Linked DNA regions of Schizosaccharomyces pombe. Changing the gene in region 1 together with any one later gene gives a genetic interaction. Each region holds a gene or a part of one and is shown in the gene's direction. Other genes may lie near its edges. The genes, in order: ppk26, alg6, dad4 and utp16.

Region 1 (8,134 bases):
TCGGACGTGAATGCGGAGCAAAGTTGTGATCAGAATTTTGACGAGAATCATCATGCAATGGTTCAGATAACTTGTGCAGAGATTTTTCAATAAATTCCTTCTTGGAAGGCGGCAAAGAAGAGTCCGTATTTTCGTTTGCATCCGATTTCAAAGCGTTTGAGCTTGGTCTAGAATTTGAAGAATTAAAATCATTTGACGACTTTCTGGTTGAAAGCCTTGTGAATGTGCTTATCAGGGGGATCTTAGGCGCTTGAGTGATTACAGCATGACTTTTTGCAGGGCTTAAGGAAGACTCGTCGTTTTTATTATTCAGCTTCATTTTAGCAAGGTGCAAATCCTTAGCTGCAGAGTTTTTAGCAGCATCTAAAACTGCATTAATCGGTTTCTTCGTGGGCGGAGTCGAAGGAATTAATCTTTTATTAGAACTTACTTCTTGTATTTTCTGCCTTAATCGTTCGGCACGATCATAAGTTTTCAGTTCATAGTGGTTTTCATTGGAGGCAGTTAGCTCGTTCAATTTAGCAATAGAATCGGGAATTTTGGCTTCAAAAAAGTCAAACTCTTGACTTTTGGCATCACTTCCAGGTTGAGAAGATACAGGTAGTCTCTCTTCATTGGATTTTAATTTGGCCGTTAATGCCTCAGCTTCTACTGCGTTGGATTTATCGAAGGAAGTAATTTCGGGAGGGGATTCAAAAATAGTTGGATGAGGTTTAAGCATTTCATTTTCGACAGACCTTTTTCTTTCCTTGGAAGAAGAAGTAACAGTTTCAGAAGAGAAGGCGACTCCTGAACTTCTTTTACGAGTTTTGTAAGAAGTCGATAACCTAGTAGACGACGTGAGCGATTCCTTGGCTGATAAATCTGTCTTGGCGGGGATGACTGATGAAAGGAATTTTCGAAATTTAGAAGGACTAGAGGACACATTGGTATTTAACAAAGAAGAAGGAGCATCAGAAGTAGTTGAAGGTAGTGCCTTGATAGGTTCATCTAATGAAATTTCAGGATTATTCGTTAAGTTGTCTTTAGTACGCCGGCGATTTAACTGATTTATAAATGAATTAGTTGATTCCACACGACTGTGTAATGATGCAGGTCTTTTCAAAATCTCTTCACGTTTAGGTAAAGTGACAAAAGAATAAGCGGGGTGCTTTTGCTTTGGTAATTTATTAGGACTGTCAGCAGTTTCTGATGGGGAAGGCGAAGTTTCACGAAGAGGAACGTTCCATTCAGTAAAACGACGCTCTACTGAAGTAGGACTAAAAGCTGGCAAATTAGTCGGCAATCTCGTTTCTTTAATAGGAGATACACCACCTTTAGTAGATTTATTAACTATATCATCTTTGACATATTCAGAAGATAGCTTAGTAGAATCCCTATCATCATCAAATTGGGTTTCTGTATTAGTAGCAGTATGTAATTCTTTAGGTTCCTTGACTGTATTGGATTCACCCGACTTATATCCTTCAACAGCAGCTTCCTCAAGCTGATGTTGAATAGATGTTAACCGCATGCGAGGCGTTGGTAACGCACATCGATGTACAGGACTTAAACGAGGAGTGGAGTACTTCTCCTTTATCTTGGTAGGTGTTCTCACTAATTCATATATATCCCTAACCATCTAATTAGCACATATGATAAACAACAAATGCGTACGACTCTAGCTGTAACTTGGAAACTTCAAGCATGTGTTCATTCAACCAGTCCATGGTTTCAGATACAAGGAAGAAGAATTCTTTCATTTTTCCATTAGTGAGTTGTTGGGAGTATTCCAACTCCTTATTAAACCATAGTTCTGACCCATTAGAGCCCATCCTGTTTGGTTACATATAAAGAATGAGCTAGTTGCTGGAGAGTGGTCGGTGGTGGAAGCAATCAAATGTCAACAATATACAACAGTAGTTGTATACCTAAGCTTCCAACTAAATTTATAAACAATTATGCTTTCCCAATTTACAAATGATCAAAAGGTTTATTGTTTTCAAGATTTAAATGTAAATATCAAGTTCCGATGTTATAAACAATTGTTAGGAATATAGACATCGGTTAACGACGAAGAGGTTTTTAACGAAGTAACACTTTAAGCCATACATTTTTTCGAGATGCCGATGCTGATTTTATTGCAGTAATTATTGAGTGGAATAAGCAACCCAATGCATGCAACCTATCGTTCGTTTGATCAGCAGACAGAGTTAACTAGTTTGTGTTCAAATATCTTTCACCATTTGTTTATGTTTAGTATATAGCAAGCGGCACAGACATAAAAGTTTCTATTGAACGGCTACAAGCAATTTGTCATGCTTTATACGCTTGTCATTTATTGGATTTTTTTAATGATTCGATCTACAATATTCACGCATTTTCTCCATTTTTTGTTCACATACTTGCCATAGCTTTTAAAAATAATTTTTCCAATCAGACAGAGATAAATGCCAAATATCATACACTTGTCTTTAAGTTTTCAAGAATGTATTAAAACATGGGTAACCATTCTCAAAAAATTAAAAGCTTATTCAATACAAAATTCACCGTTCTCTTTTCATTTTGAGCTATTTTAACTCAATTAGACTTTTCATTCCTTACTCTGTTTTAGAGGACAATGTAAAGAGAATAGGGTAATAAATATGCTTTTATAATTGACAGTCTGTTATTATTCTTTTTAGCAATTTAAATATTTTTCTGAATTCCTAAAATTTCTTTAATTAATTAAATAAATAATATATACTTTTTTGTCTGACAGATCAAAAAAGGAAGGGTGTCCGAGTGGTTATGGAGCTAGTTTAAGGCACTAGTGCGAAAGCTCGTGGGTTCGAGTCCCACCCCTTTCAGTAATTTTTTATTGCATTTTATAGCAAAACAGGGGAGTGTGAATTTGGCAAGCTGTTAGTTTCTATAGGGAATTTATAACTGCGAACTAAGTTTTCTTACTTGCAATGGCTATATATGGGAGGCCGAATTGCTTGAAAAACATAGCTTTGCATTTGAAACAATTCGCAAAAGTTGGCACTAAGGAAGAAGTTAAGATAAAAAAAATTCAGTTACTTTGGTTTTATGATTTGCAATTAAATTACAGTGATCGCAGAAAGATAGCAGCATTACGAAGACATGTTCAACTGCTACATAACACTTGCTATTGTTAAAGTTTTCGAAATAGTTACTGCCCGTTACATGTAAAGAACAGATAAAAAATAAATTAGAATTACTGTCTTCTCAAATGCTTAAATATTACTACTATGAAATTGTTATATAAACAAAATGTAGCGTTGCAAAGTATTACAGTAAACTTCGTTGTGCTGCATTATTAGTATTGTCCGGGACTTACTGATTCCACGACCTGTAACTAAATTGCTATAATCTCAGACTGTTAGCTTGGGATTGCCTGGAAATTGACAGGATGAGTGTGAGGAAGAATTCTCCTGCAAGCCCAAAGCCAACTTCCCGTTCTAGGGAGAGTTCCAGGTCTCCGTCAGTGACTGATTTGAAAGGTAAATGGAAATTCAAAGCAAAACTTGACTGACCACCATTTTTAATAGACCATTCCAAAGCTAAACGAACATTATGTAGAAATATCTTACTTTATGGATCCTGTAAGCATTCAGAAAATGGATGTGCTTTTCGACATGATGGTGTAAGTATAGGCGTATTCTCTTAACTTCAGAGAAGCTTCTTGCTTACGATTGTTTGTAGCCTTTCATCCCTTCTTCAGAGAATTTGGAGCAATACTCAGTGTATGATTTTTTTTAAGGCTTTGTACGTATAATTAACCTCGCTAGTAAGAAAAAACTGAATGCTGCGTCGGCCTCTTTTCAACCTGTTCGCGCTTTACCAGTAAAGGCTGCTGGCGCTGCAGTATTTGTTCCTAAATCACAAGAAAAATCTCTTTTTCTATCTAGAGAGCGTACCCCTGTTGCGCTTTCACCAGGTAGTCATGTATGTCTGGCTAACAGCTTATATTTTTCTTACTAATTTTACTGTAATTTTAGGCTATTAATCCTTACAATAATGCATCTATGTTGGTCAATGAGCCTTTTCATGATGACTCTGGGGTTTATTATACTCGTCAAAACCAGTTTAAACCCGTAAGTCTAAAGCCTTATTATTGTTGTTGACAACAACAGACATTGTACAATTTATATAATCCGCAACCTTCTCCCATGCCAACTTTACTTCCTTATGAAAGAACTGTAAACGGTCTATTTATTGATGATACGACTAGAGAAAGAATCGAGAGAAAGAGCGAGGCATCCCGTCAGACAATTTCAGGTACTTAATTTGTGTCTAGCTTCCTTTATACTAATATTTTAGCGCTTCCGTCTATTATATCTTCATATACTTCTTTGGCGCCACTGAATACAAAGCTTTATCGGTATAAAGAGCAAATTGGATTCTCTTCTTGGACGTACAAATGCACTTCTTCCATCGATGGGAATGCTTACGTTTTGAAACGACTCCAAGGTAACCTTCAGATTCATAAATTGCAATTGCTAATATATTTAAAAGACTGTTCAATTAATATTGATACGTCGACTGTCGACAAGCTTAAAAATGTTTTTCATCCAAATATCGTACCATTCCATTCTGCTTTTCATACTGATACATTTCATGATTCTTGTAAGTTTATTTTACTAAACCTTACTAATTAATCAAGCGTTACTATTAATTTATGATTTTTATCCGTGTACTACAACCCTTGGTGAGCTCTACCTAAACAATTCTAAAAATTCTGTCAAGTTGGAGGAAAATAGAAAAATTCCAGAACGAGAGTTATGGAATTATTTTTTCCAGCTTACTATCGCTTTGTCATATCTACATAAATCCGGGTTTGCTTGCAACAAGCTTACTCCGTCGAGAATCCTTGTGGATCAAACTGAAAGGTATTTTTTTTTGAACATTTTTTATGTTTTGATGGAATACATTTCTTTAATTCATTAATGACTTATACTAACGTGTAAAGGATTCGTATTAGTGGTTGCGCTGACTATGAATTGGTAGTGTCAAACAAGCCTCCATTAGAGGAACGAAAGAAGCAGGATTTTGTAGATCTTGGAGTTGTGATTGCGAATTTAGCTACTGGAAGAACTGATATGGACATGTCTTCAGCCGCACGAGCAATTTATAGTACATATTCGAGGGAATTTTATAAAGCGGTTTTATACTTTGTATCGGAAGTTCCTGAGGATAAAAACTTGGAGTTGTTTTTGCAAAATCACATAGAAAGTTTTTTCCCTATAATGAGTTCACCATACGTGGAATGCGAAAAAATGGAGAGAAAAATTTCGGACGCTTTCCAACACGGTCGATTTTTTAATATTTTGTGCAAGATTATGTTTATTATTGATAATAATAGAGCTTCTCGTGAATATCCTATCGCACGAGAAAAAGAAATTTCATTAATCTACTTATTACGAGATTATCTTTTCCATCAGATAGATGAAGATGAGTGTCCTGTGATAGATTTATATCAAGTGCTGAATCGCCTGGGAAAGGTAAGTTTTTTACATTTTTCTCATTATTGCATTTATTAATTCATTAGCTTGATGCCGGTATAAATCAAGCCATCGCATTAATTTCCCGAGATGAACTTGATTGTGTTTCAGTTTCTTATGGGGAGGTAAGTATTTGCTCAAAAAGCCATAGTGGGTGCTTAGTAAATTAGACTACTTTTCCACACTATATAGCCTGTTTGTTTGCAAAATTACTAACAATAACAAATGTAGCTAAAAGCTTGGTTGGACAACGTTTACGAAATGGAAATAAATTCTTAAAATAAAACATTTTTCTTTACAGAATATTTATTTGTTTTTTTGTATCTATTACCATGGTTGTTAATTTAAGTAAATAATAGTTTTCGCTATAATAATATTAGAAGGAAGCTAAGCTTAATGTGGTTTTGAATTACCTACTGCAACACACCGTATTGAAACAAAAACGATCAGGAATAGAAGCCTGACACTTATCAGATAAAATTCATTAATACGTTTTCCTGGTTTAATTATTAATTACGGAAACTCCCATGCTTGTTAAGGTACATACAGACGGTTAATCATAAACTTCTTAGAGGAGAGAGTTTAGCAGTTGTCCTCAAAAAATGGCAAACCCTTTCGTTCGAAATCAATCTTTTAAATCAGTATTTTTTAAAAATTTAGTCGGAATTACCCTATGGGTACCCGTATTAATGTTCGTTGAACAACATGTAGTCAGCGTCGGTACAATTGAAGGTAGATCTATGAAACCAGCCTTTAACCCTGAGACAAACATGCTGCAGAGAGATAGGGTACTACTTTGGAAATGGAATAAGGATTACAAAAGAGGAGATGTAGTTATACTACGGTAAGTTCTTGGATCGTTGCAGGGTCTTTCGGTACTGAGTTTCCCTTTTTATCGTTACTAATAAGCAACAAGCTCTCCAGAAAACCCAGAGGAACTATTGGTAAAAAGAGTTCTAGGAGTAGAATACGATATCATGAAAACGAGACCTCCTAAAAAGTTGTCATTAGTACCCGTTCCCGAGGGACATGTGTGGGTCGAAGGCGATGAACAATTTCATTCTATGTAGGTTTCCAACAATTGTTTTTTTACTTTTTCGTTTTCTTCTATAGAGATATTAACTAGTTTACAGTGATAGTAACAAATTTGGCCCAGTATCGACAGGACTCATCACTGCCAAAGTGATTGCAATTTTGTTTCCCTTCTCTCGTGCAGGGCGTATTGATCATGAAGGTTTCCGAAAGAATGCAGTGTTTTTAAGTGGAAAACGTTCTGTTAAGTAAGCTGCACCACAGTGAACCTGTTTCCTTGACAGTTTAGTTCCATGCTGGTTGGTGCTTATTTACATTTCTTTTAAGGAACACGTTATCCTTAAATTTAATTTATTTCGACGCGTCGCGTTCTATATATGACGTCATTAATATGTCTATCTATTTACCTATTTGAAAAAGATGGAAGTTGGAAGCTACTTTGTATTAGAAATACCAATAAAAAAATATAATTTTTTCATACTCAACATCAAAACTTTTATTTAGGGAAAATTAGAATTGACTGAAAAATCCGTCTCTTTTGCATATCCCGAAACAGTAAAGTCGTTGAGTATAGCAAAGTTGGAAATTTTTCAACAGGGTATTTGAAATGAGAAAGAATTCCATTTCTAAGTAGCCTTTAAATAAAACCCCCAGAAGAAACGAACATTGAAGTAGTCCTTTGTTTTCCTTAGGAAGCCTCATATATCGTTACTTCGAATACGGTCTAACGCCGTACCAAATGTATACAGCTGCGTGAACCTTCCCAGAGCGAATTTGTGTATAACACGAAATCCGAAAAAATTACTTCTATTTATTTGAAAAAGAAAGGAATTCACAATCTCTTAAACAAACCAAGTGGTGAGGAGCTCGAGTCTTCTTTCATGGTCAGTTCAGCACCCTTATTTTCGAGAAAAACGTGCTGCCCTTTATAAAAAATTCGATATTTTTTCGGCATTTTTTATTTTAATATACTATAATGGCTTCAGCCAATTTTATTCGCCAGTTTGAGCTGGGGAACGATTCTTTTTCATACCAAAAACGCCCAGAGGATGAGCCATCACAACCCCTTTCAAACAGAAATATAAACAAACTAAACGATTCATCTACTTTAAAAGACTCTAGTTCAAGGATTTTTATTAACTCCCAAGTTTTACGTGATGGCCGACCCGTAGAATTGTATGCTGTCGAATGTTCAGGCATGAAATATATGGAGCTTAGCTGTGGGGATAATGTTGCTCTTCGAAGATGTCCAGATTCTTACTTTAATATCTCTCAAATACTTCGACTTGCTGGTACTTCGTCATCTGAAAACGCCAAAGAATTGGATGATATTATCGAGAGTGGGGACTATGAGAATGTTGACTCCAAACACCCTCAAATAGATGGAGTATGGGTTCCATATGATCGAGCAATTTCTATAGCAAAGCGATATGGGGTTTATGAAATTTTACAACCATTAATTTCTTTTAATCTTGATTTATTCCCCAAATTTTCAAAGCAGCAACAAATCGAAAGTTCTTCAATCTCCAAAAATTTAAATACTTCTTCTTTTAATACGCGATCCCCTTTGAGGAATCATAATTTTTCAAACCCTAGCAAGTCTTCAAAGAATGGGG
Region 2 (8,314 bases), 1.4 Mb from region 1:
AGTTTCTTTATCGAACTCAGATTCGTCGATCGTGTCTTTGTCCTTGCAATAGGTAATAGCCGCATTGACTTGGAGGTTTGTTTTTAAGTCTCCAGATACAATTTTGGAAGCTATGAATGCCTCATGAGCATTGGATTTCGGGTCTTTTTGTTTTAAAGAAGCGTTGGCCAATGTAAATAGCAAATTTCCAATTGTTCTATCACATCCCGAAGAACCAACGTTAGTTTCCTCAATGACCTTATTTAATGAAGAAGAAAGCTTTTTATTTTTTAACGTATCTTTTACCGTTGTTTCATTTAATCCTATTTTTGTAAACTTGGCACGTAACTCCTCATAATCCTGGTCCATTTTAGTATAATAAAACTTCCCTCCAAAAAATGTATAAGTATTGCAATAACAGCAAACGCGATGAAAAATGAGAGGGTACGGTTAAGTTTTTAATAAAGCTGTTATTATCTTTCAATTCATGTGATAAGCTCCTATCATTGCGTTAATCTGCATAACAGCGGAGTAGGGAACTAATCTTAAAAATCGTTAAGTTAATAAAAGTAGTTTCAGTATTAAATTAAAATTTAAAACATTTTGTTTACGGTTTGAAAATTAAAACAGGAATTCACACTTTTGCGCTTTTGAGATATTTTTAATTTTTTTTAAAAAAATAGAGAACGCAAAATGCTTTCCGAATCTTTGTTTTTTTCCTTTAAATGAATAGTTGTTTATCGGTTCTAAGCTCTTGCCTAGTAAGGCTTTTTTGCTTTCACTTTAATACTCAAGGGAGGATGATTCTTTATTGCTATAAAAGTTTAGATTTTAAAAACAGCATCAACCACTGTAGTGTACAAATGAATTTCATTTGCCCGCCAAGCAGTTAGTATGTTTTTATTCATTCAATCTGGTATCTCTTCTCAAACGAATGTACTTTTGGGTATTTTAATTAAATTTAATCTAATTAGGTTTTAAATTTTCATAAAATATATAAATAACTATTTGTGAGTCCTTGAAAATATTTCATTTAGCTTAAGCATAAATATTGAAATTATTCTGAAGAGTAAACAATATACAAACAATGCGAGAATGCAAATAATGTTAGTAACTATACAACTTCAGTTTCTATTTCAAATCGTTTTACAAAAAATTAAACTAAACATATGATTAGTAAATATCGCTTAAAATTATACAAATAATGGAGATTTCACAGTGTTCCATCAACGCAAAAAGAAAATATTAGGATAATGCTTGCTTTTACTTAAAACTGTAACAGACCAAGAAATAATTTTACAATATTATTATGAATTCTGGTTTTAAAAGCATGATTTTTCGTCAAACCGTCGCTTTTTTTTTTAGCCCAACAAGGGTTTTCTTTAGAAATTATCATGAACGAAAAGACTTTTAAAATTTCAAAGCTCTTAATTGCAGCTACAAATTCGAGATCAATTACATAGTAAATGTATTAAGGGAATTATTTTTCTTAGCATGTTCTTTGCTAATAAGATTTTCGTTAGAGCTAAATTATTAAACAGCAAACAATTAAGTAATATATTTCAGTTCATTGAATTTAATGGGCTAGTATCACTGAAACAAACTCCTAACTTGCCAAGCTCAATTTATTCTAACATTTACCTATCTTAAGAGAAAAGTAAATCAGTCAATAAGTGATACAGCTTAATTTTCATGTTTATCAACTCATTTTTTATGTTATTGCTCACCCTTGGATCAATTATGTAGTGATAACTTTGCGCGTATTTAATTTTTAGGCTTTGAAACTGAAAATAAAAAATAAGAAAGAAAGAATGAATTAAAAAGTGAATTGATTTTTTTGGACATTATAAAACCATATTTCACGATGATCGCAATGGTGGACCCATAGTCCACTTCGTGGTTCCCAACCCATTTCACTGTTATCCCAACTTGTATCTGCTTTGAATTAGCTTTTCCTTGTTTAAAACATTCCGGATACAAATTCACTCGTTTTTTAATCTTTAAGCTTTCCAAGTTGGATATTTTAATTTAGAAACCCAAAGTTTTAAAGCGAAATCCTTACCGTTTGACGGCCGCTTAAAACATGCTATCTGAGTTTGAGAATGGGGCTCCCGTTCAACAATTCGTTTCTCGTTTTCGATCCTATTCATCTAAATTTTTATTTTTTCCATGCCTTATAATGAGTTTAGTTTTCATGCAATGGCTTATATCTATCGGTCCTTATTCTGGGTATAATACACCTCCTATGTATGGCGATTTTGAAGCGCAAAGACATTGGATGGAACTAACATTGCATACTCCTGTGTCTCAATGGTATTTTAGAGATTTGCAATGGTGGGGATTAGATTATCCTCCTTTAACAGCATATGTTTCTTGGTTCTTTGGTATAATTGGGCATTATTTTTTCAACCCCGAATGGTTTGCTGATGTCACATCTCGTGGATTTGAAAGTCTTGAATTAAAATTATTCATGAGATCTACTGTTATTGCATCTCATCTTCTAATACTCGTTCCCCCTTTAATGTTTTACTCCAAATGGTGGTCGCGCCGTATACCTAATTTTGTGGACAGAAATGCTAGCCTAATTATGGTCCTTTTTCAACCTGCTTTACTCTTAATTGATCATGGTCATTTTCAGTACAACTGTGTTATGCTGGGTTTAGTTATGTATGCAATCGCTAATTTGCTTAAAAACCAATATGTAGCTGCTACGTTTTTTTTCTGTTTAGCTCTTACGTTTAAACAGATGGCTCTATATTTTGCTCCTCCTATTTTTTTTTACTTATTGGGAACTTGTGTAAAGCCAAAGATTCGTTTCTCAAGATTTATCTTGTTGTCAGTCACAGTTGTTTTTACGTTTTCCTTAATATTATTTCCATGGATTTACATGGACTATAAAACATTGCTTCCTCAAATTCTTCATCGAGTGTTCCCGTTTGCTCGTGGTCTTTGGGAAGATAAAGTTGCTAATTTCTGGTGCACCCTCAACACTGTTTTCAAAATTAGAGAGGTGTTTACTTTACATCAACTCCAAGTAATTAGCTTGATTTTTACTCTCATTTCTATTCTCCCATCTTGTGTTATATTATTTCTTTATCCTCGTAAACGTCTTTTAGCTCTGGGTTTCGCAAGTGCATCATGGGGGTTTTTTTTGTTCTCTTTCCAAGTTCATGAAAAGTCGGTTCTTCTTCCTTTACTTCCCACTTCTATTCTCTTATGTCACGGAAACATTACAACCAAACCATGGATTGCTCTAGCAAACAATCTTGCTGTTTTCAGGTAAAATATACATATTTACTGTTTAAATTATACTAATATTTTTATTAGCTTATGGCCGTTACTGAAAAAAGATGGTCTTGGTTTACAATACTTCACATTAGTATTAATGTGGAATTGGATTGGTGACATGGTAGTTTTCTCAAAAAACGTCCTTTTTCGGTTCATCCAACTGGTAAGACTATTTTTATTATTTGCTATTTTTTTATGCCAGGTGTATTAACTGGATGCAGTCTTTTTATGTTGGTATGATTGTTATTTTGGGAATTGATCTGTTTATCCCACCACCATCCCGTTACCCCGATTTATGGGTCATTCTTAATGTTACGCTTTCATTTGCCGGATTTTTTACTATTTACTTATGGACTCTTGGTCGCTTGCTACACATTTCAAGTAAACTTTCTACTGATTTGCGTAACAAAAAAGAAGCATAAATTGAACAAAATGATTTTATGTTACATTATTACGCGGAAAAATCAACATATAGTAAAGGATTTTATTAAAACAATTCTGGGAGAAGGATTGTTATTCATGACTTCAAATATTAAACGAAAGTTATATTTGCCTGAAATATTATTTTAGCCAAGTAACCTTTTATTAAAAGAACGATTATTAAAGTACCATCATCCCATCGAATTCAACACGACAAAGTTGTAAGCGGTACCAGACCGAGCTTTCTACTTTCGTAGCTGATCTAATGTTCAGTAAAAATTGAAAATATGATAAAACAAAAAAAGACAAATGGGATTGTGTATCGATAAATTAGGAATCCCTAATGACTGCATGCTGAGGTTTAACTTGAGGTTTAGGCTGAGCATCGCTGTTAGGTGAAGCTTCATCTTTAGTGGTAGATGAAAGCGAATTTGTGTCAGCAACTTCAGAACCAGAAGGCACGTCTGACGTTAAATTAGTTGTAACTCTTCTTATAGGTTGCCTTTTCCTCTTTGTAGACGCCGTATGTTTTGGAGTATTCCGTTCGTCAAGACTCATCTGAGAAATTATTTCTTCACACCTTTTATATAGTTCTTTAGATGTCCAAGCCGCATTATTATAAAAAAGAGTAGGATCATCTAATAAAAGACTAATTTCTCGAGGGACTTCACAAAATTTCTCAAAGTTCTCAATCAACAGATGAACAGCCTCGATGGCAAGGAAACTTTCGTCAACAGGATCGTTGCTTTTGGAATATAATATGTTCGGAGTAATTACGGTAGCAAGATTATGAATATCCATTTTGCTTCCCACCTCATCATCGATGTGGGAAAAAGAGGCAACCCAATATAGAAAGCCAAAAATTACCTCCATAGTGTCTCTATGTCCCTTGGGTAGTAAACATATTGTAAGATGCAAAACCCTCATGCGTTCTTCCTCAGACTCCAACTTTGAAGACGTAATGAACAACCCAAATAACTTGAAAGTTAAAAGAGGATCAGGAAGCTCTCTAAGGAATTTTTTCAATAAAGCAGCCAACTGAATGGGTGTTTCTTGCTCATAATCAATTGAATCCGGAGAAACATCGAGCATGTCAGATAGCTCTTTTAACCTACGTATATTTCCGTTCTTTCTAAATACACCAACTACTGACATATCTTTTCTTTTCATAGCAGCCAATGTATTCCCAATAAAGGCAGGAATATGCTTGACACCCACGCCTGTTCCAACCGTCGACTGAGCGTTATTACGCTCAACAAGAATCTCCAATGGCACCCCAAAGGTACCTTTCTTTTTCACGTTCTTTTTTTCGGCATCTTTCCCCTTGAAAGCCTTTCCAAATTTTTCCCAGAAACCACCTTTGCGCAAATCGCTCATTTCCATCAATTCATCAAGTGAATAATAATCCCGTACAAGAGGGTGCAATATTAATACAGCTACGTGCTTGGTAAATAATAATTCTAAATTAGAAAGATCTGAGAGATAACGAATAGGAGCATCTTCTGATTTAGGAGTCAAACCCTTTTGCGTACCATCATTTTTATCATAAATCGCCCCAGAATTCTTTCGATAGGAAGGATCAGTATAACTGGGCATATGCCTAAATGCATTTGGTCGGTGTTCCCTGTTTCTTTGTTCTGAAATGACTTTAGGAATATCATCAAGAGTAAAAGCACGATTTTCATCAAAGGCATCCATCCTTCTTTCCAAAGGACTAGATGCTTGCTCAACTATGCTTTTTCCAGTAATAGAACCACCATGAGAATGCCAATGGGGACTTTTGTCTTTTCCAGACTCTGACACATTCTTTGATAATTTAGATGTTTCGGTAGAATTGCTTGAGGACTGGGTTTCATTTGAGGTGGCCTTACGATTGCGGGAAGACTTAAGATGTCGCAAATCATTAAGAGTATTGGCATACTTACGAAAACTGTCTGAACTGGCAGTAGTCTCGGCTTGTTTCGCTGTTTCAACAGTACTGGATACATTCTCTTGTTTTGGATCAACAGATAACGGCTTTCGCTGTGATGAGTCGTTATTCTCCATAAGTATAGTATATAATCGAACCAAGGCAATACGTAGCAAGTAAATATATTGAGAAAGCCTGCTCACATACTCAAAAGACGGATGAGGTTCGTCGTTACTAACGTTGGATGATTCAGTATAACATAAATAACATTCTATTTGTTTCGTTTGGTTGTTCCAGCGCGCCCAATCGTAATTCTCCCGATTGTTGTATTTACATTTAGTACATGACAAACAGCCAATATGGCAGCGAATTTCACCCAGGAGAACACAGTCTTCCTCCAAGGCAGAATGACACACATAGCATAAATCGGAGCTGGCATTGGCCAAATTTAAAGGCATATCAAACGAAGAACTATCATATCCTTCTTGATCGACAAATCGAGCTTCTTCTACGGTCTGTAAAAACTGGGGAAGAGCATGCTTACAAGCATGATCTTGTTCTAGTCGTAAACCTCCCGTAAGCGATATCCGAATAAGTAACTTGAGGTAATGAGCTAAACCGGTAAAGAGTGATAAAAAGTCTTGAACAATAGCAACGTCGCGAATATCCGAATTATGGCATTTAGCAAGTAAAGCAAATATTGAAACTAGCTTCTTGCAAAGCAACTTAGCTTCACGAACATAAGGCATACTTTTAGCATGAAAACTTGAAAGTATAGTTTCTAGCGAATCAATGCCTTTAAAAAGTATCTCGATATAACGAATAAATTTTTGGGCACAAATAACACTTTTTGTGAATTCTCCATTTGAAACAAGGAGAAGCATATCACTGATACACGAAGCTGTATACTCCTCAAAATAAGAGAGTGCATGCCAAATATGAAATATTTTCTGTTCTAAATGTTTTTCCCGTTTGCGTAATTGTGATTGAGAAAGCTCAGAATCCTTCTTTTTAGAAGTTTCTATGGATGTCTTTTGACAAAGTTTAACATTCCAAAACTTGTAGATCATATGACAAGGAACGTGCCAATTTTGAGATACCCCATTTCTGTAAACTTCAACAAATTGCCTTAAAATTGGACCATCACAACCGCAACATCGTGCAGCGAAAAGTGTTGAATAATGATAATGACAATACACTTTGCCCTCATATTCATAGTAAGAATCATTCGGACCAAAAACAGTGTAACATAAGGAACAAGTGAAATGTTCTATATGAAATTTTTTATTCAAAGCTGTAATATAATAACCTCGAAGGGCCATTCCACAACTTGCACAAAGTAAGTCAAGCCGCCGAAAATAATCTGTTTCACATAAAGGCACTTGCTTGTTAAGAGTGGGATCATCAATAGGAAAAAATTTTGAAGCAACTAAAGAATTACAATCATGGCATCGAAAACATTCTAAGTGATATATATTTCCAAGAGCACGTACATATTGTCCGGATATAACTTGTCCACATGAAGCACATATCTTTGATGAAGAAACTTTCCTTACAGCCTTAGGAAATACAGAAGTATCTGATCGCTTTAGACTTTGCTGCTCCTCTTTATTAAGCAAACCAGATTGGGCTAATTGTTGCTGATTAGGCAACGCTTTTCGAGACTCAGCAGAGGTATGCCTCCGAGAAAGTGAGCTGCCACCCTCAGTACCAGCAACAGTGCTTGTATGTCGAGAATGGGGGAAATTCTTCGTTGTAGAATTCTCTTCTATCTTATTTTGACGGGAAGGAACAGGAATTCGTTTCGGTGGTGTTGGTGATACACCATTCGTTGTGTACAGCAACCCATCTTTTTTGGCGTCCCTTTGGGACATACTGTCCTTGCTGTTTGAACGAACCTTAGCTTCTATATTAAACGCCTTTATCACTTAATAAACCAGTATGACTAGTTAATCCTCTTTGGGATATTTCCGTTCGAAAATCACCCCCAAGAAAACCTTATGGGACTCAATTCCTTCAGTTTTTAAAAGAGTGAAATTAATAATATGTAAGACCTCAAATAACTAAGCCTATAGCTTTTGAAGCTATTTTTTTTCAGAGACTAACTATTGTTGCGGTATGTTGGTGGTTGTTGGTCCGACTTCCACCTAAGAGGAGACTGCACACCATGGAATCCAAGTCAGAAATGCTAAACTCCAGCTTGATATAGGGGCCAAAATAGACCCTAATTTTTATAGCGACTAAGACATGAAGTCATTTGGGAAACCGATTTCAGTACACACCCCGAAAATGACTTTAGATCTTCGTTTAGAGAATAATCTGTATTTTTGTTTTATCTCTCTTTAATGCTACACTTTATGCTCCTTTTGGATAGTTATTCTTAGGTGTAGGTTTAGGCACTGAATTTTACAACGACTATTATACTAGAGCTGCTCGCTGCTCATGCTAAGGCTTTTACACATTTACGAAGTCTATGTTATAACAAGAGTCCTTATAGATGTTTGAAATTATCATAGACAATATGAGTGACTTTGATTTTAACTACCTGTTCAAGTTTCCCAAAAAGTATTTAAGTACTTTCCCACTGTGTTTCCCAGACTACGTACGTCTTGCAAGTTCAGTAGGGTTGAATTCAGATAAAATAAATGGAGTTTATAAAAACTCAAATCACTTAATACATTATCTTAAAAATACATGCAGAATTTTTTATTTTTATTT
Region 3 (7,094 bases), 1.2 Mb from region 1:
GGTGATGAGCCAAACTCTCTTTGAAAAATCAATGAACCGGCTCTATTGATGATGATTAATGCATGCATAGGTATATGAGTATTAATGATATTTAAATAGATAAATATGAGTTGAAAATTAGCAGCCTTTCGCTGTGCGTAGGAACAAGCTTTGATTTAAGTAGTAGTAGTAGTAGTAGCAGTACGTTGGTTGAATGGGCAAAACCGAAAGACGCGACTACCAGCATGTCGATGACAGCCGGGAATGTCGTATTTGGTAATAATTCTTTAAATATTCGGTTTTGCTAATCTAATTTAGTTGGTAACATTCCATATGATGTTTCGGAACAGCAAATGACTGAAATCTTTAATCAAGTTGGACCAGTAAAGACTTTCAAACTTGTACTTGATCCGGAAACAGGTAGTGGGAAGGGTTATGGGTTTTGTGAGTTTTTTGATAGTGAGACTACCGCTATGGCTGTACGAAAGTTAAATAATTCCGAATTAGGACCTCGTAAGATTCGTGTCGAGTTTCCATCAAATGATCCCAGAAGGAATCAAAGTTATGAATATACGGAGCGTACTGATAGATACATGGAACAGCAAAATGCTCATGAAAGTTCTTATAATTCCCGTTTTATTCCTCCTGTTTTGCATTCAACATCTTCCCTGCCTGCTTCACAAGGAGGTGGGATGCCAAGTCCTGCTATTTATTCGTCGTCAATGGCTACTAATCTTAATAAAAATATAAATTCTACTTCTGTTCCTGCTTATAATTTTCACAACAGTATGACCTCCGACTTTGATTCTGCCAGTCAACCCCATACAGATGCATACAATGCAAGAACCTTTCAGTATAATAAATCTTCACAAAACAAAGGGGATTACACTTCCGGGACTTCTATATCGAATCCGACTTCTATCCCATTGGCCCCGTCTGTCGTTCAGGTACTATCTACCTTCTCAGCTCAGGAACTTCTCAATATGTTGTCCAAACTTCAGACTGTAGTTCATATAGCACCAGAAGAGGCACGACGACTTCTAATTGCTAATCCTGCTTTACCATACGCCGCCTTTCAAGCTATGTTGCTGATGAACTTAGTTGACGCAAATGTCTTACAACAAGTAGTAGTCGCAGTGAAGAATAAAAACATGCATCAACCAGCTTCAGCAACTTCCTCTCCTCCTTCTGTTCCCCAAAAAATACCTTCTAGTAACCATAAAAGTCAACAAGCGAATGGTTCAGATCAGGGCAATGAAGGGAAGCGGGTACGTTTTTTTTTTTTTTTTTGCACTAACAAAACAGATGGCCCTCATACAACAATTGTTGGCTCTTACCCCAGAGCAAATTAACGCATTACCTCCTGCACAAAGGGATCAAATTCTTAGCATTCGTCGGCAGCATTTTCGACAGTAAGTCTAATTTTAGTAATATCAAGAGATTAAATATTAGCATTTGACCAAGTACTTAAATTTGGTGTGCAAGATAATTTATTTACAACACTATAAACCATATCCTAGCACTGATACCTTTTCATACTACACACTTCTTTATACTATTCGGATGTTTTGCTTCTCATAAATATTTGTTTCTATACGCGTTATGGAGGGCTATTTCTTGGATCCTTTATTCAATATCCTTTTATAAAAATTTACTCAATCAATATTTCATATTAAAATTTATTATTTTTTATATTTTAAACTGCCCTTTTGATCGTAAATATATTATAAAAATGTAGGTGGTAACATCAACTGATACTTCTCAAATAAATATGCAACTCATAAATTCCCAAAAAGTTCAATTTCTTAAAAAAAATTTAGATCACAGGTTTAAAATTGTAGTTCAATTTTTCCAACTACGAAGTGTCAGCACTGGCTCATGCAAGCTTCCAAGTACAGACTACATAATTACAGTTTAGGAAATTGAAAACCATCGAAAATGAATAATCCTATGGAAGAACAGCAAAGCGCATTATTAGGAAGGATCATAAGTAATGTAGAAAAGCTGAATGAAAGTATTACAAGACTCAATCATTCATTACAGGTAAGATTACGACGTCAAATATTTGTGTACATATCAACTTTCCGCTGACATTCTTAAAGCTAATTAATATGTCTAATATGAATGTTGAGCTAGCTAGTCAAATGTGGGCGAATTATGCAAGAAACGTAAAATTCCACTTGGAAGAGACCCATACGCTTAAAGATCCCATCTAAAGTTATATGATGTTCTTTAATATTTGTGCTAACGAAATTTGCTATAAAGCACAAGCAAAATTAATATAACAAGGATTGCAATTATTGCTGTCGTGAAAAATCTGTTCATGGCAAGTCTTTAAAATGAGTTAGTATAAAAGATCATTACATGACGATTCATATCACTATAATAATGTCTATCTGTGTCCTACCTTCTTGCCATTGTCTTCAGAGTTCTTAAACTTCGATCAAGGTGTCCAGACGTATCTCCAAGCTAATTTGGTTAACAAATCTCAAAGAAATTTATACATAGCATAAAAGAAAACTATATTTTTAAACCATGGAGCTAATAAGCTTGGCTAAGATATGCGTATAAATCGCGCATTTTATCTTATCAATCATAGTGATTCATTTATCTATTTTGCAATAATTACTTACCATCTCTAAAGAATGCTCCAATTGATTTCTTTGACCATGAAGATCACGAAGAATGCTAGCACCAATGCCTTCAGTCTCATTCGCAATCCGTTGTGATTCAAGAAGACGCTGTGAAGATTGCTCAAGTCTATTTGTTCCTTGTAACAAACGAGTTCTTTGGTCATAATCTTGATCACTTGCAATATAATCACCGGATGTTTCATCCCTATTTCCAAAAAGGGCTTTCCTATCTGATTTGCCAATTTCTTCCTTCTAAACGAGAAAATTGTTAGTATGAATTTGGTAAATAAAAGTAGATTGTCTCATAGTAATTTCTGTAAAGCTTCAAAAGAAGAATGTTCGATATAGCTAACTTACCAGGTGTCTACGCCACTCCTCCAAAGTTGAACGATAACTACGAATTCTTCCATTTACGAGACCTCTTTCAGAAGTAGGGATACCGGTAATTTCAATTTCCATTTGACCAATCTGCAAGTTAGCCACTTTTTTAAAAACACAAATTATTCCAACATACTACTTCATCAATTTCATTTAAAAGTCTCTGACATGATTGAATAACAGAGTTCTCACCACTTTTACTTAAATCATTAAGTTTTTCTTCGATATCTGCTCGAAGCAAGCTAATTATTAGTAAACTTGTAATGGTATTAGACATACCGATATTCTTGCTCGTACGTCTCCATATTTAACAATTATTAATATTGATATATTAGATTTCTTGAAACTATCGTGTAAACAGTTTCTCAAATGAATTAAAAATAAAATAGGTGTAGGTTAAGATTAAATGGTTACGTTGGGAATCGAATACCCATAACAGGTAGTCATATTAATTAAGGCGTGTGTAGAGAGGAATCTACTAAAGCGAAAGAAAAATACAATGTTAAAAGGAATGAATATTAATTAGATAGTGTACAGTTATTATTCCTATGATTCATCAAACCATTTAGTCAATTCTTCTGATAATTCGTCAAATTCGTTTTTCCAGTATAGTAAGCTAGAACCAGATTCTTCATAAACATCACGTACAATGTAACCGTCCATCTCAGCTTGATAAAGTCTTTCTAACGTTACACCAATGGACCAATGCAACCTCATTGCACATTTCAAAGCCGTAGTGCTAGGATTCATAACTTCCAATATAGCGGACAAAAGTTTTCCTGAATGATTAGAAGTTTTTAATTGAAAAAGGATAAGCCCAGAGTTCATTTTGGACGTTGTTATACCAACCTCCATGGAATCTATTAGTTCACAAGCCTTCACAAATCTGGTCGGAGGAATCAGGTTTGCTTTTCTTGACCGATTATAGATGGCCCAAGCCTGGGTCATGGTAACCGTATCGGTATCAGCTTTTAACCTTGTGCGTAAAACTTCTGAGATACTTTTACATAGTTCAATATCATACAATCGAGAATTAGCCGAAACAGGAACATTATCTAAATGATTTCCTCGTAACACTCCTAACTGATTCGATTTGTTTAAAAGCTGCTGTACCTTGTCAGACTGTTGAGTGCCGGTCAGCCCATCCATCTTTTCAGCAAATTGGTCAGCCAGAGACATAGTATCTTTCGCTAAAGAAAAAAAAGCATCTAAATCTTGAAACGCATGTACTAAGGTACGTCCATTTTTGGCTAATTGCATCTCATGAGATTGCTCAAGATCATGAATACCACCCATTCGCAAAGACTTTTCAAGGATGGCCTTCCTCAGAACTTTAGTATCATATTTATTCGAGTATCTTTGTTTTTCTATTTCATCTGTTTCAGATTTGATAGCTTCGTAAAACTTGGATGAACCCGAGCCTCTAAACGAGAGTTGTATAAGCTGGTTTCTATCGACATTTTTTAATTGATTGCCGCAAATTTCACAAGTATTCAGATCCGGATAATTTTGAAAAGTACACGCGGTGCATAATCCTTGAGAAAAACGCGCATCTGATTTCGGCTTTATAATAGTAAATCGGTTAGCAACTCCACAGTTTCTACAAGGATTAATGGGATCACCCACATTGATAAATGTACAAATTTTGCAAGCCCATGACTTTTCCACATGTCGCAGAGAAAGGCGAATTTTTGGGGAGGAGCGAAAATACCTAGAGGTATGCTGTACATCTCTTATATCGGAGATTTTAATTTTTAATGAATTCTTTTTAGGATCTACTGAATCTACGTAGAAGATGTGTTTTTTTGTCAAATATAATGTTCCATTATTATGACGAAAACTTTTCTCATCTCCGAAGTATAAACCTACCTGGTCTTGAACTAGCAAAATTTCTTCTGAAGGATCCAAAACCGGTAGATTAGAAGGGGTTGTTTCTAAATAAAAGGCCATATTAGAAGGAGAGATTAACCAAAATGATAATTGTCAAGTGAATTAAAACTTATATAACATGTCATGTGCCTTGGTTAACTAGTCGAGACCAACAATTGATTTGAGATAATCTGTGAGTACGACTTTCGCTTTATTTAGCTACCTTTAAAAAAAATATTTTTGGATGACAGCTGTGAATGTCGATATATAAATAACATAAATGAAGCCTGTCAAAAGCTCGATTTAATATGTTACAATAAAAAAATCAAACCGTAGTCTTAATAAAAAACAACCCAAGGATCACAAACTAGCGATAAAAGATGCAACAGTGCCAGAATAACTTTTGTAAATGCAGTGAAATAAGTCGTGGAACGTTAAAAGGTCCCAGAAAAATAACTTGTCAAGATTTAACCTGAATTTGGAAAAAGCCTTTAAGGAATTAAAAGACTTTGATTTACAGATATAGACTTAGCAGTCAATATATAATGTCAACGAATTCATCAAAGATACACTGTATATTGAATTACCCACGAACTTTGATTGTCGAGCTCCAAAAATTGGATGCACTAGTGTATTGTGTTATTTAAAATAGTGAATCACTATATGCTTCGTATCTTTGACCAAGAGTTTACCTCTCAGCAGTAGTCATCGAAGCCATCATATTCCTATTTGCTCGAAAATGAGTGATTTTTATGTTCGATACTAGTATGCAAAAAAGCTGTAAATAGTTTTGAATGCTAACTGACTGAAGCTCGGGACACCATGGTCGATTCGGACACGAGTTCTTGGGTACGCGATAATATTAGACGCAAGGTCGCGCAGCTAACCAAACATTTGCTAGAATTCGATTATCATAGTGATGGGCTAGGTATGAATAGAGTCAACAATTTTCTGATTCATATTAGCAACAGTGGTTTGACATGAATACTAATTCAATTAGCTAGATACGCAAACAATTCTAACTATCGGAACGATTCGTTAATCCGAAAGGAGAGTATGTTTTAGTACTACATTTCTGTTCGATCGTATTAACAAAGCCTTAAAGTGTTCGTCAGTGAGCTTGTTTTAAAAGAAGTTCAACGTATTGTAGATGACAGTGAGATCATAAAGCAAGTCATTTCTTTCAATTTTTTATACTAACTACTATTTAGAGAATCAGATGAAAGTTGGCCACCTGAAAATAAAGATGGTAAGCAGGAACTTGAAATTCGTATGAATGGAAAACACATCATGTTTGAAGTAAGATTGCTCTTCATTTGGCATAAATATATTCATTCTAGATACTTTTAAGCTAATATAAACTACTAGACCTGTAAACTTGGAAGTTTGGCAGACGTTCAAAATAGTGATGATCCAGAAGGGCTAAAAGTTTTCTACTACCTAATTCAAGATTTAAAAGCATTGTGCTTTAGTCTCATCTCCCTAAATTTTAAGCTCCGACCTGTTAAAAACTAGATGCATTCCATTTTCTTATATATTAGGGCGAAAAAGTTTTATGTGAAACATTGGTTTACTATTTGGGTTTGATTACCTTTGTTTCGTTTCTAAATGTACAGTCTCAAAGCTGAAAAACGTTCGAGCTTTAGGAAGGAATTTCAGTTTTTATGCTAAATTAACCGTATTGCACTTTTAATTCCATATCATAAGCGGTTAAGAATTGACTATTTATTTGGGAACATCTTAGAATATGGCAACCATTCCATGGTAGTCGCGTTACAAAATCTTTTTTTCAATAAGATATCAAAAAAATCTTGAAATAATTTTAGCTATATTAAATAGACACTATTTGTATAGTAATGAGCGATTCACTTATTTTGTCTCAATAATATTCTTCATTTAAATAAGAGAAAAAAAAGGTAAAGTATTTCTTATTGTAATTAAAAAAAAAATTTCAATGTCTTGAGCACTGTAGTGACATGGTGTCATTTACAGAATTGGCATTTCTATTGATGCCATAGTATCGCCTATTTAGCTGTTAACCTTTCTCGAAGACATGATATGTTATATATGACCTTGGTTGATCAATTGAAGAGCTTTGTTTACCCTTGAACATATCTGTAAAACTGGATGCAGTCGATGAAGGAAATTTGCGTTCCGCCAACATGCCGGATTTATCACTCTACAAACAGACTGTAGATTTATACCTTTCCATTGCTCCTGGACACAGCAGGGATC
Region 4 (6,929 bases), 890 kb from region 1:
TGTGTCCTCAAAAGCTAGCAGCTGCTAGATGCATACCATTGGGCAAACTAATTTTTTTCTTCTTTTGAGCATTTTTTTTTGTTTTAAGGGTTTCTAGAGACGCTTTTCTATCGCAACTGCTCGGAATCTGCACTTGAGACACATTCAAGACCGTCTCAGTCTCAACAGACATTTGCATAGGCTTGGGCTCCGACATATCCTCCTGATTAGCAGAATTTACGTATTTTCGAAGTTAGCTTATGAAAATATTTTGATTTTCGATATTTCCATTCCTATGTATATGTATTGGCATTCCACATTGGCAAAGGATAAATAGTGCAACATACATTTGACAAACGTCAAGTTGCCAAGCCCTACCCTAATTAAATTATTAGCTGCTAGTGCTAATAACTCCTTAAAATTTTTGACGTTAGCAAACTACTACGTGAAAACCAGGAGAACTTGTAGAACTCCCGGTTTCCTTTAAATAATCTCTGATTTTGGTTTCTTCATGTAATAGTCTTTTATTAGTACTAAAGCTTTTTATCTCCGTATTCCTCGATTTTTAGGAAAATACTGATTAGTTCAATATTTGAAAATGCTTGTTACTTAACGAACTGACCGTATGGATAATAACGACCAAATATCAAACCTTTGTCTAGGGGCTTTACAACTGCTTGCCGATCAACCTATTTCGGTTATCTCGAATGAACCATCTGAAGAACAGCGGAATGAGCACGTCCTGAAAAAATGGGAAAATAACGTTTTAAGACATTGGAAAATTCTTTTTTCTCTTTTTATGCAAACTTGTGGTGATAGTGTACAAGGAAATGCTGCCTTCTCAATCCTCAATTTCATGACTACTAATAGTTTAGTGGGACAACTATATCAGCGACTATATGATGAGTCTAATTCATTGGGCTTTATAAGTAGCCCTTTGAACGAGACAGAACATTTGTCGGAAGAAAATTTAAAAATCGAAAGCAGTATTACCTTCACTAGTGAAGAAATTGAGAAGGAAAAAGAAAATATTAAATCTGTATTACTTCCTTCAGTGCAATCTATTTCTTCTTCTTTAGAATTGTATGCGTCTAAAGAATCTGATTATAGAAGCTCAATTGAAGGTGTATTAGCTGACTTGAAGTTAGCGCGTGCCCGTTGGGAAATCGTTAGAAACGTGACACAAATACTTTTGCTCGAATCCGGCATTAGTTTCCTAGAGAACAAAAAACTTGCATATATCATGGATCTATGTGGTGATCGTGAAGACAATTATAGTTCCTATTAAAAGTCTTTATTTTGTTTGTGAACGAAAAATTTGGTATGTTTTTATGAATGTTATAAGCCCAGTGATGCTTTTTTGAATTTCTTCAACGGAGCCGTTTGTCTTATTGACATGCGATGTGGGACGATATTTGACATACTGAGGGCCAATCATTCATTTTTCTGACTTCATAATTTTTCTTACTAACCTTTAGAGTAAATGAATTCTTTATTATGAATATTTTTAATAAAAGCTCCTTTTTTACTCTTTGTAAAAATTTTAGAAACTAGAATACATAAAATTTTATTTAAAGGTACTCTAACAACAATAACGGATGTAAAGGAGAAAATTGGCGAAACCGTAAAAATAATAGATTTCTCTACAAAATGAAGTAGGGTTGGGCGTTATCGGTAAACTGAATCAAGCGGACAAACCACCGTTGTTTTTTTAAAAAAGGAAGGCTTATAATAGTCGGAGGTTTTTGGAATGAGACAATATAGAGGCGCTGATGTCAATTGTGAACATCATCAAAGGTATACTAATATATAGTAAATAGATTGTGAACAATCAAAAATTTTGCGAGCTCAGTAATTCTTTCTCCACAGTCGCAAGAAAACTGGCATCTGCTAATGTATAAAAAGTCAAGAGTCAATAGTATATACAAATCAGTTATAATTTAAAAACCGTATGGACAACAGACACTTAATTATTTTGCTTTTTAGAAGTAGTCACTTCTTTTGAACGACCGTCAAAAGCACCACGGTTACCTTTGCGAAAATTCCTTTTCATTCCATTATAATTATCGTTGGACTTCTTATCTCCCGATTTGTTGAATTTACCGGAAAAAAGACGGCGTCGTTCTTCTATGTTCAGCGTGGCATTGTTAATTTGCAAAGTTTTTTTGTTCAAAGCCAATTGCACGCATTCATGGTTGACAAAATCAACATATGCGGTGCCTTTGCGACGAGCAAACTCAATAGCCTTGACTGGTCCAAAAATGCTCATAGCAGATTTCAATGACACATCAGATGTTTCGGGAGGAATGTTCTTGACGAATACAGATGTCTCCAACAGTTCATTACTCTGAGTGTACGGCGCTGTTGGCTGCTGAGTTTGGTCAGCATTAACACCTTTAACTGTTTGACCAGTTGTAGACGCAGTAGAACTAACTGATGCTTGGGATTTCACATCAGGATGATTACGAGCTATGAGATCAGCCCAAGATTTAGGTGCTGTAGCAACATTTGCATCGCTAGCCCCTATAGCATCAGCATTCTTCGAGTTTGAAGTCAGAGCTTCATCTTGAAGCTGATTTTCCTGCTGAGAAACAAAACTTGGGACTGAGGCTTCCGTAACTTGGATAACGGGTTCTTCAGGAACAGCCAAAGTAGCTTGATTTAGACTGTCGGTCTCATTTGATATAAGAGCGGCTGTGGCAAAATTATTTTCTGTAGCAGCTGGATCCTGGTAATGGCCTTCTTCTTTTGCAGAAGGTAAATGTTCTTGAGATTGCACGCCATTTACGTAAGGTTCAGAAGCAACATCTTTTTTCTCTTTTTCAACAGCATCAGGTGACTCCTCTTCTTCCTCAACATCTTCACGCAAAAAACGGAAAATATCGTTTAAAACAAAATAACCATTTGGTTGTTCTGCAAGGAAAAATGTTTGAGCAAATTTTCTGGATAATTTCCCCTTATTAGACATTTCACCCAGGACCTGGATGACAATGCCACCATTCGAAGAAGCCAAACTGTCAACGTTTGAAATAAGTACTTTGCAATTTTGAAAGTCCAAGTCCAATATCTTGTTATGAATTTCCTAACACGTTAATAAAATGACTATTGGGCAAGACAACGATCATAGAGTTTCGAAAATCGCAAGCAGAATATCACAACCTCAAAAACTTTACATATAAGAATTGTGTTAAAGCATACCTGTTGTCCATGACAAAGACTAATACTCTCGCCTTCGTCTCCGTGAATTAAAGTTGACTTTTTAGTATAGAAACACTGTATTACAGTTAGTACGGTTCACAAGTTGAAGAAAAAAAAACTTTTGGTAAATTATGACGACCTACATGAAGACGATTGGGTTCTTTATTTAAATATGTATAATATTCTTGAACGAACATCCATCCTATCTCATCCTTTCCCAAAACTGGTTCTAATAATGTGGCATTTTCCGCAGTCATGTTTTATTTAACTGTGACAATAGCTATACAAAGAACAGAAAATCTGGCTCTAAAAGACCCAAAACAAAATTCGGTCGTGTCTTATGTTTTCCGTGCGTTGGTCTTTTTAATGTCCCATCTCCTTGCTTTCAATGTCCGTGATTACAGCATTTCGTAATTGGATTTAACGAGACTAAACGATATTTCTGTTGATCTTTTACATTCAACTTGTTCGCATAAGTAAGTTAGTTGATGGAAAGAGAGACCTTTTGGTCAGAAAATTGTTTGGTTTTTCATTTCAACAAATAACATAAACATCATATGATTTACCATAGATCAAAGTTGCATATATTTCTTTCTATTATTGTTTTGCAAATTGATTATATTAGAAACGTTAATTCATTGGAAACCACTAAACATTTTGAATAGTAATACGACTATATACTGTGCTAGAGAGATTAACCTGCTAATGATTTTGCCAAAAGTCAATTAGTTTAACAGCTTTAAATGCAATCGTCTAGAAAAATTATGATACTAAAAAGAAAGTATGCGAGCCTTTAAATCATTTAATTAACGAAAATTGAAATTACTTTCTTCTTCTTATTTACCAGCATTAAAGGGTTAAAATCTAGTGCTATAATTGCAACGTATCTTACTTTAAATAAATTATTTATTGATAAATTTTGTAAGACTCAGGAAAGTACCTATCCTATCCATTTTGTTCACTGCCATTTTGGTGGCATTAAGAAGTTTCACTCGCATTGCCAGTTATCCTCCTCCTACACCAATTCAGGTCAAAAAAGTTTCAAATCCTTTAATAGTCTTCGTTTTATAGTATTAAAATCCAAAACTTGTCTGTTAAGGTATAAACTTCTGATAAAGACATTTTGTTGCATTACTTATTCGAAAATTGAAAATTTGTCAAATACTAGAATGGCAAGATTGACTGCCCCAAGCAAAGGTCCTTCATTTTCAAATTTAAACAAACCAAATGATTTGTTGAAAGCGGAAATTGAAGATAATGAAGCCTCACACTACTCTCAAAATCAATCATCTGACAGTGATTCTGATGAAGCACCTGAAGAAGTTTCGCTGAAGAGCAGCAGCGATGAGGTAAAAAAGAGACTTCAACGTCTGAAAGGGAATGAATTACAGTAAGTTTTAATAAACGGAATGAGGGAAACACTTAAAAATACTATTTGTTTTGGTTTGAGACAGAATAATAATTTGTTTGATAAAAGTTCGACTGCTCATTTCGTTTCCTTGCTTTTGATAGTATTATTTTTAACACATTTTAGGCTTCGAAAAGCTGAAAGAGAAAAACGTAGACTGCAAAATGAAAGAAATCGTGAAAGAAATGCCCAACGGGTAAGCGCATCAAAGTTGGATTTGGCTATTCTTGAGGCAGCTGAAGTTGAAGAAATTAATAGTACCACGGAAATCGAAGAAAAGGTTGACGAAGCAAGCCTTGACCTATATACTCCAAAAGGACATAAAATTGTTTTTCCTAATAACGAAATTCCTAAAAAACGTACTCGTTCATTTCGTAAAGGTGATTTTAAAGTGAGCGTTCTTAAAGAAACAAATGACCCTTTACTAGCGCCGAACTATGAAAAGAAACTGTCACAGCGTAAACGGGATTGGATAAATCGACAATCAGTTCCCCGGGCGTCTAAAAGACGACGTCCCTTGACTTATTAATTTTCCTTTCTCTATTTGGCAACACATTCGCTGTAAATTGAAAGTCAGGCACAAGCATTGCATTTTCTGTTAATATAAGGGTTTACTTTTTTGTTTATTAATAATATTGGTTGGGAAAAGGTTGTCTGGGTTCTAAAACATTCATTATTTGAAGCTTTGGACATGCTAAGTGCAGTTTACGGCTGTTTTTTTGGTAAATGTTTAACATAGTATTTTTAAAAATAAACACTTTAGACAAACATGAGTTAATTAAAGTTGTATCAAGGATTTATTGCCATGCACTAGAGGAAATTCGCTCATGTAACGTTTCGTACATCATAGATATTATAGATATCAGTAGCTATAGCTCATAAGGCCAAAATTTGCATAAATATATTATTAATTGTCTAGTGTATGAACATTTACTACTTATAATTATAAAATATTTGCATATAAATTTCTGAGATGGTTTGTACTTTCGACTACTTGCACTAGGCAAACTTCGCTTTTTAGCACCACAAAAATTTTGTCACTTCAAAGCATTGTTGACCTTCACCTCTGCAGCCATGTCGGCCCAGGATGTCGAAAACGCAGTAGAAGCAGCATTAGATCCTTCTGTAGGACCAATAATAAAGCAACAAGCTACAGATTTTATTGGTAGCCTTAGAAGCTCATCTACAGGTTGGAAAATATGCCATGAAATTTTTAGTGAAAAAACGAAATATAAACCATCAACAAGACTGATTTGCCTTCAAACTCTTAGTGAGAAAGTTAGAGAATGGAACAATGAAAGCAATTTGTTAGAGTTACAGATGATAAGAGACAGTGTTTGGTCTTATATTAAGGAATTAAGCTTTTTGGATGAACCAGCTTATATTAGTAATGCTGTACAACATTTATTGACATTATTGTTTCTTCAACTATATCCAAGCAACTGGAATGATTTTTTTGCTTCACTCCAAGGCGTTATTGCGGCGTCGTCTCAATCTGAGTTTTCAAATTTTTATTTGAAGGTTTTACTTTCCATCGGCGATGAGATTGCTGATTCATTGGTTTTAAAGACAGATGTTCAAATTCAAAAAGATAATTTAGTAAAAGATGCAATTAGGGCAAATGATATGTCTGATATCGTTTCATTCGTCTATGAAATGATGTTGGCCTATAGTAATGCTAAAAACTATGGCACGGTTGGATTGTGCCTTCAAGTATATGCACAGTGGGTATCTTGGATCAATATAAATTTGATAGTTAATGAACCGTGTATGAACTTGTTATACTCTTTCCTTCAAATTGAAGAATTACGTTGCGCTGCATGCGAGACAATGACCGAAATTGTGAATAAGAAAATGAAGCCACTTGAGAAACTTAATCTGCTCAATATTCTTAACCTGAATTTGTTCTTTTCAAAGTCGCAGGAACAATCCACTGATCCTAACTTCGACGAACATGTCGCCAAGTTAATAAATGCACAGGGTGTTGAACTTGTCGCTATAAAATCCGATCCTTCAGAACTTAGTCCAGAGTTGAAAGAAAATTGCTCATTTCAGCTCTACAATCTTTTTCCATACCTTATCAGATATCTTTCTGATGATTATGATGAAACCTCGACAGCAGTTTTCCCCTTTTTGTCCGACTTACTTGTCTCACTTAGGAAAGAATCTTCTTCCAAAGAACTTAGTGCTTCTTTAAAAGAATTTCTTAAATCTCTGCTAGAAGCTATTATAAAGAAAATGAAATATGATGAATCACAGGAGTGGGATGACGATCCTGATAGCGAGGAAGAGGCCGAATTCCAAGAAATGCGTAAAAAATTAAAGATTTTTCAAGATACCATTA

The links.
Region 2: mutations in ppk26 (region 1) and alg6 impair growth when combined (synthetic growth defect), as found in Schizosaccharomyces pombe (one large-scale study listed by BioGRID).
Region 3: mutations in ppk26 (region 1) and dad4 together harm fitness more than expected from each alone (negative genetic interaction), as found in Schizosaccharomyces pombe (one large-scale study listed by BioGRID).
Region 4: mutations in ppk26 (region 1) and utp16 together harm fitness more than expected from each alone (negative genetic interaction), as found in Schizosaccharomyces pombe (one large-scale study listed by BioGRID).

What each region holds. Positions count from the first base shown.
Region 1 is NC_003423.3:2,762,951-2,771,084, reverse strand, and holds ppk26 (PAN complex subunit Ppk26), read left to right. Parts: upstream 1-3,331; 5' UTR 3,332-3,394; coding exon 3,395-3,485; exon of another isoform or gene 3,486-3,533; coding exon 3,534-3,628; exon of another isoform or gene 3,629-3,646; intron 3,647-3,687; coding exon 3,688-3,728; intron 3,729-3,773; coding exon 3,774-3,930; intron 3,931-3,983; coding exon 3,984-4,079; intron 4,080-4,118; coding exon 4,119-4,263; intron 4,264-4,305; coding exon 4,306-4,455; intron 4,456-4,500; coding exon 4,501-4,611; intron 4,612-4,648; coding exon 4,649-4,874; intron 4,875-4,954; coding exon 4,955-5,486; exon of another isoform or gene 5,487-5,533; coding exon 5,534-5,611; exon of another isoform or gene 5,612-5,616; intron 5,617-5,717; coding exon 5,718-5,765; 3' UTR 5,766-5,816; downstream 5,817-8,134. Other genes in the region: INCENP-like protein Pic1, read right to left, coding at 1-1,613, 1,657-1,814; mmp2 (endopeptidase catalytic subunit), read left to right, coding at 6,089-6,330, 6,403-6,552, 6,620-6,770; DNA-binding transcription factor, MBF transcription factor complex subunit Cdc10, read left to right, coding at 7,495-8,134. UniProt on the Schizosaccharomyces pombe protein: Regulatory subunit of the poly(A)-nuclease (PAN) deadenylation complex, one of two cytoplasmic mRNA deadenylases involved in mRNA turnover. PAN specifically shortens poly(A) tails of RNA and the activity is stimulated by poly(A)-binding protein pab1.
Region 2 is NC_003423.3:4,195,451-4,203,764, reverse strand, and holds alg6 (glucosyltransferase Alg6), read left to right. Parts: upstream 1-1,894; 5' UTR 1,895-2,062; coding exon 2,063-3,258; intron 3,259-3,306; coding exon 3,307-3,430; intron 3,431-3,488; coding exon 3,489-3,689; 3' UTR 3,690-4,017; downstream 4,018-8,314. Other genes in the region: glutaminyl--tRNA(Gln) ligase Qrs1, read right to left, coding at 1-348; Rho-type GTPase-activating protein Rga1, read right to left, coding at 4,018-7,470. UniProt on the Schizosaccharomyces pombe protein: Probable dolichyl pyrophosphate Man9GlcNAc2 alpha-1,3-glucosyltransferase that operates in the biosynthetic pathway of dolichol-linked oligosaccharides, the glycan precursors employed in protein asparagine (N)-glycosylation.
Region 3 is NC_003423.3:4,001,158-4,008,251, reverse strand, and holds dad4 (DASH complex subunit Dad4), read left to right. Parts: upstream 1-1,869; 5' UTR 1,870-1,917; coding exon 1,918-2,022; intron 2,023-2,050; exon of another isoform or gene 2,051-2,081; coding exon 2,082-2,195; 3' UTR 2,196-2,223; coding exon of another isoform or gene 2,224-2,311; 3' UTR 2,312-2,386; coding exon of another isoform or gene 2,387-2,448; 3' UTR 2,449-2,612; coding exon of another isoform or gene 2,613-2,864; 3' UTR 2,865-2,969; coding exon of another isoform or gene 2,970-3,080; 3' UTR 3,081-3,126; downstream 3,127-7,094. Other genes in the region: TRAPP complex subunit Trs23, read right to left, coding at 1-68; cleavage and polyadenylation specificity factor complex subunit Ctf1, read left to right, coding at 225-255, 298-1,247, 1,285-1,395; SNARE protein Vti1, read right to left, coding at 2,224-2,311, 2,387-2,448, 2,613-2,864, 2,970-3,080, 3,127-3,232, 3,270-3,295; ESCRT II complex subunit Vps36, read right to left, coding at 3,537-4,940; mnh1 (protein mago nashi), read left to right, coding at 5,599-5,624, 5,671-5,708, 5,761-5,787, 5,860-5,913, 5,965-6,028, 6,071-6,158, 6,228-6,374; DNA-directed RNA polymerase I complex subunit Rpa43, read left to right, coding at 7,022-7,094.
Region 4 is NC_003423.3:3,648,812-3,655,740, reverse strand, and holds utp16 (U3 snoRNP-associated protein Utp16), read left to right. Parts: upstream 1-3,920; coding exon 3,921-3,958; intron 3,959-4,003; exon of another isoform or gene 4,004-4,024; coding exon 4,025-4,567; exon of another isoform or gene 4,568-4,711; coding exon 4,712-5,114; 3' UTR 5,115-5,380; downstream 5,381-6,929. Other genes in the region: protein vac7, read right to left, coding at 37-196; CENP-H-like protein Fta3, read left to right, coding at 605-1,267; ubiquitin protease cofactor Nxt3, read right to left, coding at 1,946-3,061, 3,178-3,252, 3,321-3,434; karyopherin exportin-T Los1, read left to right, coding at 5,660-6,929. UniProt on the Schizosaccharomyces pombe protein: Functions as part of the small subunit (SSU) processome, first precursor of the small eukaryotic ribosomal subunit that coordinates the first two steps of ribosome biogenesis in transcription of the primary transcript pre-RNA and pre-18S processing.